Oryctolagus cuniculus: one gene and its partner. The protein of the gene in region 2 purifies or fractionates together with the protein of the main gene of each other region. This does not show direct contact. Links are inferred from orthologs where the notes say so. Each region holds a gene or a part of one and is shown on either strand. Other genes may lie near its edges. The genes, in order: EIF5 and EIF3G.

The links.
Region 1: the proteins of EIF3G (region 2) and EIF5 purify together in Homo sapiens (affinity purification with western blotting; 3 studies listed by BioGRID and IntAct, with this or other methods). This does not show direct contact. The link is inferred for Oryctolagus cuniculus from reciprocal best matches to the Homo sapiens genes EIF3G and EIF5.

The regions. Positions count from the first base shown.
Region 1 is NC_091451.1:46,204,500-46,208,966, reverse strand, and holds the start of EIF5 (eukaryotic translation initiation factor 5), read right to left. Parts: upstream 2,897-4,467; 5' UTR 2,758-2,896; intron 2,634-2,757; 5' UTR 2,423-2,633; intron 1,796-2,422; 5' UTR 1,588-1,795; coding exon 1,516-1,587; intron 1,433-1,515; coding exon 1,351-1,432; intron 806-1,350; coding exon 633-805; intron 441-632; coding exon 329-440; intron 1-328.
Region 2 is NC_091447.1:67,187,022-67,191,347, reverse strand, and holds the start of EIF3G (eukaryotic translation initiation factor 3 subunit G), read right to left. Parts: upstream 2,809-4,326; 5' UTR 2,680-2,808; coding exon 2,660-2,679; intron 2,520-2,659; coding exon 2,473-2,519; intron 2,171-2,472; coding exon 2,087-2,170; intron 1,986-2,086; coding exon 1,897-1,985; intron 1,776-1,896; coding exon 1,716-1,775; intron 1,318-1,715; coding exon 1,213-1,317; intron 1,117-1,212; coding exon 927-1,116; intron 747-926; coding exon 639-746; intron 558-638; coding exon 421-557; intron 329-420; coding exon 222-328; intron 155-221; exon of another isoform or gene 21-154; coding exon 5-20; 3' UTR 1-4. UniProt on the Homo sapiens protein: RNA-binding component of the eukaryotic translation initiation factor 3 (eIF-3) complex, which is required for several steps in the initiation of protein synthesis.

The DNA of each region.
Region 1 (4,467 bases), on a different chromosome or scaffold from region 2:
GGGCTAGTGCTGTGGCACAGCGGGTAAAGCCACCGCCTACAGTGCCAGCATCCCATATGGGCGCCAGTTCAAGACCTGGCTGCTTCACTTCCCATCCAGCTCTCTGCTATGGCCTGGGAAAGCTGTAGAAGATGGCCCAAGTCCTTGGGCCCCTGCACCTGAGTGGCAGACCTAGAAGCAGCTCCCGGCTTCGGATCAGCGACGGCCAACTGGGGAGTGAACCAGCAGATGGAAGAGCTCTCTCTGCCTCTCCTTCTATGTAACTGACTTTCAGATAAATAAATAAATTTAAAAAAAAAAATCTTATTAGTTTAGTATGAAGCCTTACCAGGTGGGTTTTTGAGAATGAACGTGCAGAGTTTATGATGTGTGTCAAGCATGCCTCGATAGCCACAGGCTTTACAAGAATTGCCTATTGTTTGCTTCTTCGGATTGACATGCTGGAAAAGGAAAAAAAACCATCATAAGAAATGAGAGACGGCGACCTACTTAAAAAAAATTGTAGGTGCGTTGTTTTCTAACAGCAAAGTGTGCCTTGCCTTCCCAGGAAAGGCAGTGCTACCACAGGATTGCTCAGAGGCAGGCAGATGGTTTTGTCTGTTCCAAACAAAAACCCTGCTGCATTCACTCACCAGATCTGTTTCAGGATTCTCACACTCAGGACAGAGAACAAATTTTTTAATGAATCCATCCAACATGTCTTGCAGCTTATTCGCCTCATGAGATCCATTGACAATGTAACGGTCATTCTTAACATCAAACTGGGTCTGTGCTCCCAGCTCACAACCAAAATATTTGGTGGGATCTATTTGGAGAAAAACAATTAGATTTGCCTCATTACAGTTAACTAAATGTCTGGCTGCTTGTTCATATCTTACACAAAAATCACTGTTTTTAAGTTGTTGGGCACAGAGCTAGTGGTGTAGGTAAAGCTGCCACCTGCAGTGCCAGCATTCCATATGGACGCCTGTTTGAGTTCCAGCTGATCCAGCTCTCTGCTATGGCATGGGAAAGCAATGTAAGGTGGCCCCTTGCACCCAACTGGGAGACAAGAAGCTCCTGATCAGCTCAGCTCCAGCTGTTGTGACCATTTGGGGAGTGAACCAGCAGATGGACAGCCCCTCTCTCTGCCTCTCAAATCTTTAAAACAAAAAAAATCGTGCTAAATCTAATGTGCTGCCCAGGTAATTTTGTGAACTTAAGACAACTATTACATTTGTTAGAGGTTCCACTCCTTACCCTTTCAACTAATTAGCAAAGAATTCGTAAATGTTTTTCAGCTTAAAGAGGATCAAGACAATATATATTCGTCATATACCTTTTCAGACTTCTCCAAGAAGCTTTACTTACACGTTGGAGGCCGATTAAGCGCCTTTGCAACGTCAACCATGTTGACTATAACTGTCTTGATTCCATTTCCTTTGCCCTCAACCTAAAGAGAACACGAACTTTATTTTTGCATTTAATCTACTTAAACATCTACAGTCTTCCTACAAAATCGAAGATCAGCATTACCTTGGCAATCAGACGGGGCATCTTGTAGCGATAGAACTGGTCTGACACGCTGCGGTTGACGTTGACAGACATTTTGGCTTATTAGTGGCTTTATCAATAAGATGAAGAGATCTTTGATTGCAACTTTTTGGTATCTTCTGTCTGGAGAAGAAGGGATGACATAAACGACTGCAAGAGTTCTCGGTCTCTGACATGAAAAAATTTTCGCCACTGAGGCTGCAAGCTTCTTGCTTGTATGCTATGTGTCCCCAATACAGGTACCAATGGCTGCGCAACAGCTCTGCAAGAGAAGCAAAGAACACACCCGATCCCCGCAGGTGTAACGTCACTCCCGCACCGACGGGCTGCCCGCGCCACACACAGCCCCGGACCCGGCGGGGCGCCTCCGACTCCCCGACCCCGCACGCCGCCGGCGACAGACGGGGCCTCCGCGCTGGCGACGCCGCGGCCCGGGCCCGGGAACGCCGGCCGCCGCCCGCGGAAGCCCGCCCCGCCCCCACCCGCCGGGGCGGCCAGCCCTGCCCCCCGAGCCGCAGTCCGGGGCCGAGCGGAGCGTTGGCGCCGCGGCGCCGGCTTACTCCAGCGTCCGGCCGCGGGCGCGAGGGCCCGCCCGGCCCCGCGCGCCTGACCTTCGGCCCCGCGCCCTCCGAGGCGCTCAGGGGCGCCGGGCCCATCCCGGGCCCGCCGCGGCGCCGGGGCCGCCGGCCACCCCCGCCGCGGGCGCGGTGACTCACAGATGCGGCAGCGCGCGCTCCCGCCGGCAGGGCAGAGGCCGCGCCGGCTGCGGGCCGCGGGCCGCCCGCCCCCCAAACTGCGCCACACGCCGCGGCGGGTCACGCGGCGGCGCCGCCATCTTGTGCGGCCGCCATCTCCCGTCCGCCCGCCCGCCCGCCCGCCCGCGACTCACCGTTTTCGTCAAATAAAGACATAAACCCAACGCTGCTCGCCCGGGACTGGGATGAAGTGAGGCGCGTCTCAACCCGAGTCCGAGTCCGGGGCGGCGGAGGCGGCGGAGCGGAGCGCAGCGCAGCGCGGGGAGCGGCCGGGCCAGGTGCCGCCGCCGAGCAGCGGGAGGGGCTGTCCCAGACGTCCGCGGTCGGGCAGCGCGGAGCGGCGACCTGGCGCGGAGAGACGGCGCCGTGAGCCGCGGCCGGGCGGGCGCGCCTGCCCCGCCAGCCAGCGGCCCGCGGGGTCGGGGGGCGGGGAGGGGGCGCGGGGCCGCCGCCCCTCCAGCGGACTCACCTCTGGAATGTTCTCGCTCTGACTGAACAACGCCGCCGCCGCGCTCAAGCTACCTTCGGCCCCAGCGCCCGCCCCTCGCGCTAGGCCGCACTACCGATTGGCCGGAGGCCCGCCCGAGCTCGCTTTTGATTGGCCTGCACGCCGCGTCAATCGCGCCCTCTCCCCGCCCCCTCTTCCTGAGGGTCCTGTCGCCGCTTCAGCCCGCCTCCAGCCGGGGTCCCGGCTTCCTTCCTCTCCCCTCCCCCCGCTTTTCCCAGTGGCCTTCGCGGCGCAGGCGCCAGATCTCGCGAGAGAGGGAGCGGCCGCCGCGGCGGAGCTTCGTCTAGTGGTTACGGCACTCTGGGAAAGATGGCGGTTGGTTCCCCTCCCCCGTCTGCCTGAGGCTGGGCCTGGGCCTGGCTCGGGCCTGCAGCGCTCCGGGCCGCTCCTCGCGGCGGCGCGCTCGACTAGGGGCCGGGCACTCGCCCGCCGGCCCCTGCCCGGCTCCTGGATCGCGAGTGCTGCCTTTTATCCGCCTCTTTGGGCCGAGTGGCCTCGGGGGACCCTGGCCCTTGGATGGGGCAGGCCAGGGACTTCGTCGCGCCGAGCCTGGCCGCTCCCCTCCCACACCGTGGCTCCCCGGTTTCAGAAGTGGAAACCTCGGACTCGCTCGTAGCGGGGCCTCCTGGCAGCGCCCCGCCTCGGCGCAGTGTCCGCTGCGCTGCCCCAGGCTTGGAGAGCCCCGACCCTCGCTGCCCCTCTGCCGCTTTGCCCCGAGTGACCGCCCGTCGCATGGGGCCCCGGGGTGACCAGGGCGGCTGTGGCGACAGGGCTCGCGTCTTGTTCTGCCGCAGCTTCCCTGTGCTTCCAGGAACTCGGGCTTCTGCGTCCGAGTCTGAGCTGGACTCGGACTGCTGGCTGCTTCCTGGCCGGGCTCCCCGGGTCCGCACCTGGAGTGGACAGCGTGGGTGTTAACCCGTGCAGTTTGCAAGCTTAGAGGCTTTTTTTTTTTTTTTACATCAAAGTGCAGGGTTACTCTTTTTTTTTTTAATTTATTTTTTTTTATTTAATGAGCATAAATTTCCGAAGTACAGCTTATGGATTACAATAGCTCCCCCCCCCCCCCCCCGTAACTTCCCTGCCACCCACAACGCTCCCCTCTCCCACTCCCTCTCCCCTTCCAGTGCAGGGTTACTCTTCCTGGTGTTGTGGGCTCTGTAAGCCGTTCGGCCCGCCTAGTGCGGGTTAGGGAGTAACTCGGCCGTGCTGGGCAGGGTCGCGGCGGCGCGTGACTGCAGGGTTGAGGCCGGTTGGCTCTGCGTGGCTGCCCACGCGTGACGTTATTTTAGAAACTCCTGGAAAGGAAGGGCGCGCAGCTCTCCTGGGGTAAGAGGCTTTGTCCTCAGGAAAGTTTTAAATAAATACAAGGCGCCTTTTTTCCCTTGCCCAGTTTGTAATAGTTTGAGCTCATTTTAAGTTCTGGTGTGTGGCACTCACAGCCACGTTGTGAGGCTCTCCCCGCGCCCTCGCAGCCGAGTGCTCTGGCGGCGCTATCTTACTCACTGCTAGACCCCAGGACAACGTTTATTCCCATTCTGCAAATGTGCGAACAGGCCTAGTGGAAAAATTTAAGCAACTTGCCCAAAGTCATACGAGGGTATTTAAACAGTAAGTCATGGAAAATTTTGACTGACACGTCTGGTGAAAATAAAATGTAGAAACCATGCATAG
Region 2 (4,326 bases):
CGGCTTAGTTGGTGGACGGCCTGCGGGGAGAGGGAGGGAGGGAGGGGGGCTGACGCGGCTGGCGCCTGGGACCTCAGGGTGTCCCTGGGCTCCCTGTGGGACCTCCGCGCGCGGGGACGGGCCCTGCTGCAGGCCAATAAAGCGCTGTCGCTGCACACAGGCTCGGTGGCTGGGGCAGGGCGGGGCGGGGGGGGGCGGGGCGGGGCAGGGCGGGGTCTTACTTGGCCCACTCCACGTTGAGGATGAGGTGGTCGTAGCCGAAGCCTGACACCCCGGCGATGGCGCGCGCGGCGTCCTCCCGGCGGTGGAAGCTGATGAAGGCGAAGCCCTGGCGAGGCAGAGCCCAGGTCAGGGTCCTGCCCACCGCCCGGGCACCGCCCTCAGCCCCAGGATGCACGGCCAGGCCCGGGCCCCGCCCACCTTGGACTGGCCAGTGGTCTTGTCCTTGGCCAAGTAGATGCGGGAGATGGAGCCGAAGGGCCGGAAGAGCTCCTGCAGGTCCGTCTCGCGCGTGTCCTCCGACAGGTTGGTGACGCGGATGGTGGCGTTGTCGTCGGCTGTGTGGGCGGGGCAGCTGGCTGAGCGGGGGAGGCCCCGCCCAGCGCCCGCCCCCCCCACGCCCAGGGCGCCCAGCTCACCTCGGCGGTTGGGCTGCATGGACTCCCCGCGGCGGCTGGCGCCGTCGCGCAGGCTCGGGGGCACGTACTTCCCCGTCTTGTTCTGGGCGGCCTGCACGGGCTCCAGCTCTGCAGGACGAGGGCGCCGGCGTCAGGCCCGGCGGGCGGCCCCCAGGGCACGTCCCGGACGCTGGCACCATCTGCACGCGCTGCCAGCAACACGGGCACCGCCAGAACCCACGGGGGCGCGCAGGCCCGCAGCACACGGGCAGGGCACGGCCAGGGCACGGCCAGGGCCCCCGGGCCTACCTCCCGGCAGCTTCTCCTTCTCGCCCGTGGACAGCCCCAGCTGCTCGGCCAGCTCCTTCTGCATGGGCCCCAGCGTGTCCTTGTAGGGGCAGCGGGTGGTCCAGTGGTCGCCCTTGCAGATGCGGCAGGACACGATCTTCTGGCCCTTGAGCTTGTTCATCGGGTCCTCCTCCTCCTGGCAGTTCAGGTCCTGGGGGGGGCGGGGGTCAGCGGGGAGGCGGGGGCTCACGGCCTGCACCGCCCCCGACTGCGGCCCCACCCCGCCCCCACCCGCGGCCCCGCCCACCTCTTTGCTGGTGATGAACGTCATGGAGACATCGTCGCTGACCGTGGTGGTGGCCACGTTGGGCCCCGGCGGGTCAAATTCCGAGTTCCCAAACTTCTTCCAGTTCTGGGCTCCGGGGAGGGGGTCAGGTCAGGGCAGGAGCGGGCGACGGCCCACAGCCTTGGGCACCCACATACCACGGCAGCCACCCCGCAACAGGGGCAGCTGCGGCTCCATGCCAGGCCCAGGCTGGGGGGGGCAGGCGGGGGTCCCTCCCCGGTGAAGCCAGCACCACCAAAGCTCCCGGCCTCCCTGGGTCTCTCCGGGCGCCAGGGGCTTGGCACGGGGCCTGCCGCCAGCCAGGGGCACAGCGGGGGAACCCCCTCCAACCCCAGCCGCTCCTGCACCCCGAGTTTCTCAGGGCCCCAAGAGACATGCAGACACCCCGGCCTCCGGAAGCTCAACTCCCCCTGGAACAGGGGTCCCCAGCTCCCGGGTCAGCCCTGCGGGGGCGGGGGCCTCACCTTCCTCCTCGCGACAGCCTTGGAGGCCTTCCGGGTCTCAATCCTGAAGGTGCGCACGATCTGCAGGTGCGAGGGCAGTGGGTGGGCCCCCTGCACCCCAAGCCCCCGCCCAGGGCCCCGGCACGCCCCTCCCCCAGCCCACCTTGAACTGCCTGCACCCCAAGCCCCCGCCCCGGCCCACCTTGAACTTCTTGCCGTCCTCATCGATCTTGTACTCGGTCACCGTCTTGATGTTCCCGTTGATGACCTCCTTGGGGGGCGGCAGTGGGGCTGAGGAGGGGGACGGGGAGGGGAACTGAGCCCTGGGAGCGGCGGGCCGGGCGGGGGGTGGGGGTGGGGTGGCCAGGGCCGCGGCGGAGGCTGTCACTTACCCCCGGGCAGCAGCTCAGGCTCCGGGCTGGTGTCGCCGGTGGCCAGGGGGATGCCCTTGAGCAGCTCGCTGGTGACACATTTGTCTGCAGGAGGGGGCGGGCGGGGGTGAGCCCCAGGGGCGGGGGCAGCCTGAGCAGTGGCCAGGGCACGGGGGTCCTTGGCGTGAGGGTGGGGCACGGGCCGGGAGACCCCGCGGGCGCCACGCCTGGCCCCGGCCCCGAGCAGGACGGGAGGGGTCAGTGGGCTGGCCCCGAGGAGGGTGGCGCGGGGCGGGGGCCGCGCGCGGAGGTGCCGGGGGGCCCTGAGCAGTGGCCAAGGCAGGGGCCAGGCCCCGGCCCCGAGCGGGGCGGCACTGCCCCGGGCCGGGGGCCGCGTGGGAACTCACCGTCCTCGCCCTCCTCCTCCACCTGGTCGGCCCAGCTGGGCTTCGAGCTGCGGGGACAAGCGTGCGGGGACAGAGCTGGGGCGGCGAGGCCGGACGACGGCAGCCCCGCGCGACCCAGGCCCCCTAAGAGTCCCCCAGGACCCCCCCACACTGTCTCCCGAGACTCCCGCCGCCACCCCGGACTCACTCAAAGTCTCCCGTCGGCATTGCAAAGTCTTCTCCACGCAGCCCGAGCCCGGGCCAGAGAGCGGAAGTGGGGGAGGAAAGAGACTTCCGGTTCAGCCGCCGCCGCCGCCTAGAGCGACCCGGCCGAGGATGCTCGCAGCGCCCCCGTGCGGACGGGCGTGGAGGCGCCGCCGTGTGCGCTGGTACCCAAAGCGGGTAGAGGCGGCTAGGCGCCTCCCAGGGTTGACCGGAAATGCAACATGGACGCCGGTTCGAGTCCCGGCTACTCCATTTCCGATCCCGCTCCCTGCTAATGCACCTGGGAAAGCAGCGGATGGCGGTTAAAGGGCTCAGGCCTCTGCACCCACGCGGGAGACCCGGAAGAAGCCCCTGGATCCTGGTGTTGGGCTGGCCCAGGACTCTGCTTGTTGTAAACATCTGGGGAGTGAACCAGCAGATGGAAGATCTAATTGCCTAATAAATACCTTTCTTAAAGACTTGACAGGAGAGTTTCAAACAACCCAATTTTAAACAAATTTTTATTTCAGAGGCAAAGACACCAGTGGGATGTCCTATCTACTGCTCACCCCCTAAAAATGCCCAAAGCAGCCACAGCTGGGCCAGGCCGAAGCCAGGAGCCGAGCACTCCATCCGGGTCTCCCACAGGGGTGGCGGGAACCCCATTCCTTGAGCCGTCATCACCTCCTGCCTCCCAGGGTGCTGCAGGAGCTCCGATATGGGGCCCCGGGGACAGCCGCTAGGCTCAGGACCCGCTCCTGGAGTTGCCACGTCTGCTAACGTCCAGTTATGGACGAGCTGTGGAGGCACAGACAACGTAAGCTCTCTGTGTGGACACAGCAAGTACTAGGCTGACTGCTGGACACCACGGCCCAGGGCAGACACAGCACCGTCCGGGGTGGTGGAGCCCGGGCAGGAGGGAGCCGGGAGGCACGCCACGGGGCTCCACTTCCGATGCGGCTCTCTGCTGTGGCCTGGGAAAGCAGTGGAGGATGGGCCAAGTCCTTGGGCCCCTGCTCCTGCACGGGAGACCCGGATGGAGCTCCTGGCTCCGGATTGGCTCAGCTCCAGCCGTTACAGCCATTTAGGGAGTGAACCAGTGAATGGAAGACCTTTGTCTCTCCCTCCAGATAAGTCAAATAAAATCTTTAAAAATAAAACCGCTGGGGCGGGCAGCCGTTCAGACACAGCTTGGGCCGCGCCGGCTCCCCTGCCGAAGTGGCGGAGGCTCTGCCCCAGCTCCGCTTCGAATCCCAGCTTCCCGCTAACCCAGCGGCGCCGGAGCCTCCCGTCCAAGGAGAGCAGGGCCGAGTGCGCAAGGACGCTCAGGGCCCTGCGGCTGGAAGGGCAGGAAATCAAGGGTTTTGTAAACTTGGCGTTCCCCTGGGTGAGGCTGTGGTGCAAGCGCCACCAAGTGGCCGTCTAGGGAAGTGCAGGTAGCGTTGGTCCACACAGTGACCCCCGCCCCCCAGGCTGCTGTGAGTCAGGTTCAAGACCCGGCTCCTCGGCTTCCAAGCCAGTTTCCTGCTACTGCATCTGGAAAGCACCTCACGGCTCGGGCTCAGCGACCAGCGTGGAGCTCCAGGCTCCCGGCTCCCACCTGGCCCGGCCCTGGCTGCTGTGGGCATATGGGGAGAGAAGCAGCGGATGGAGGACCCCTCTCTGCCTCTC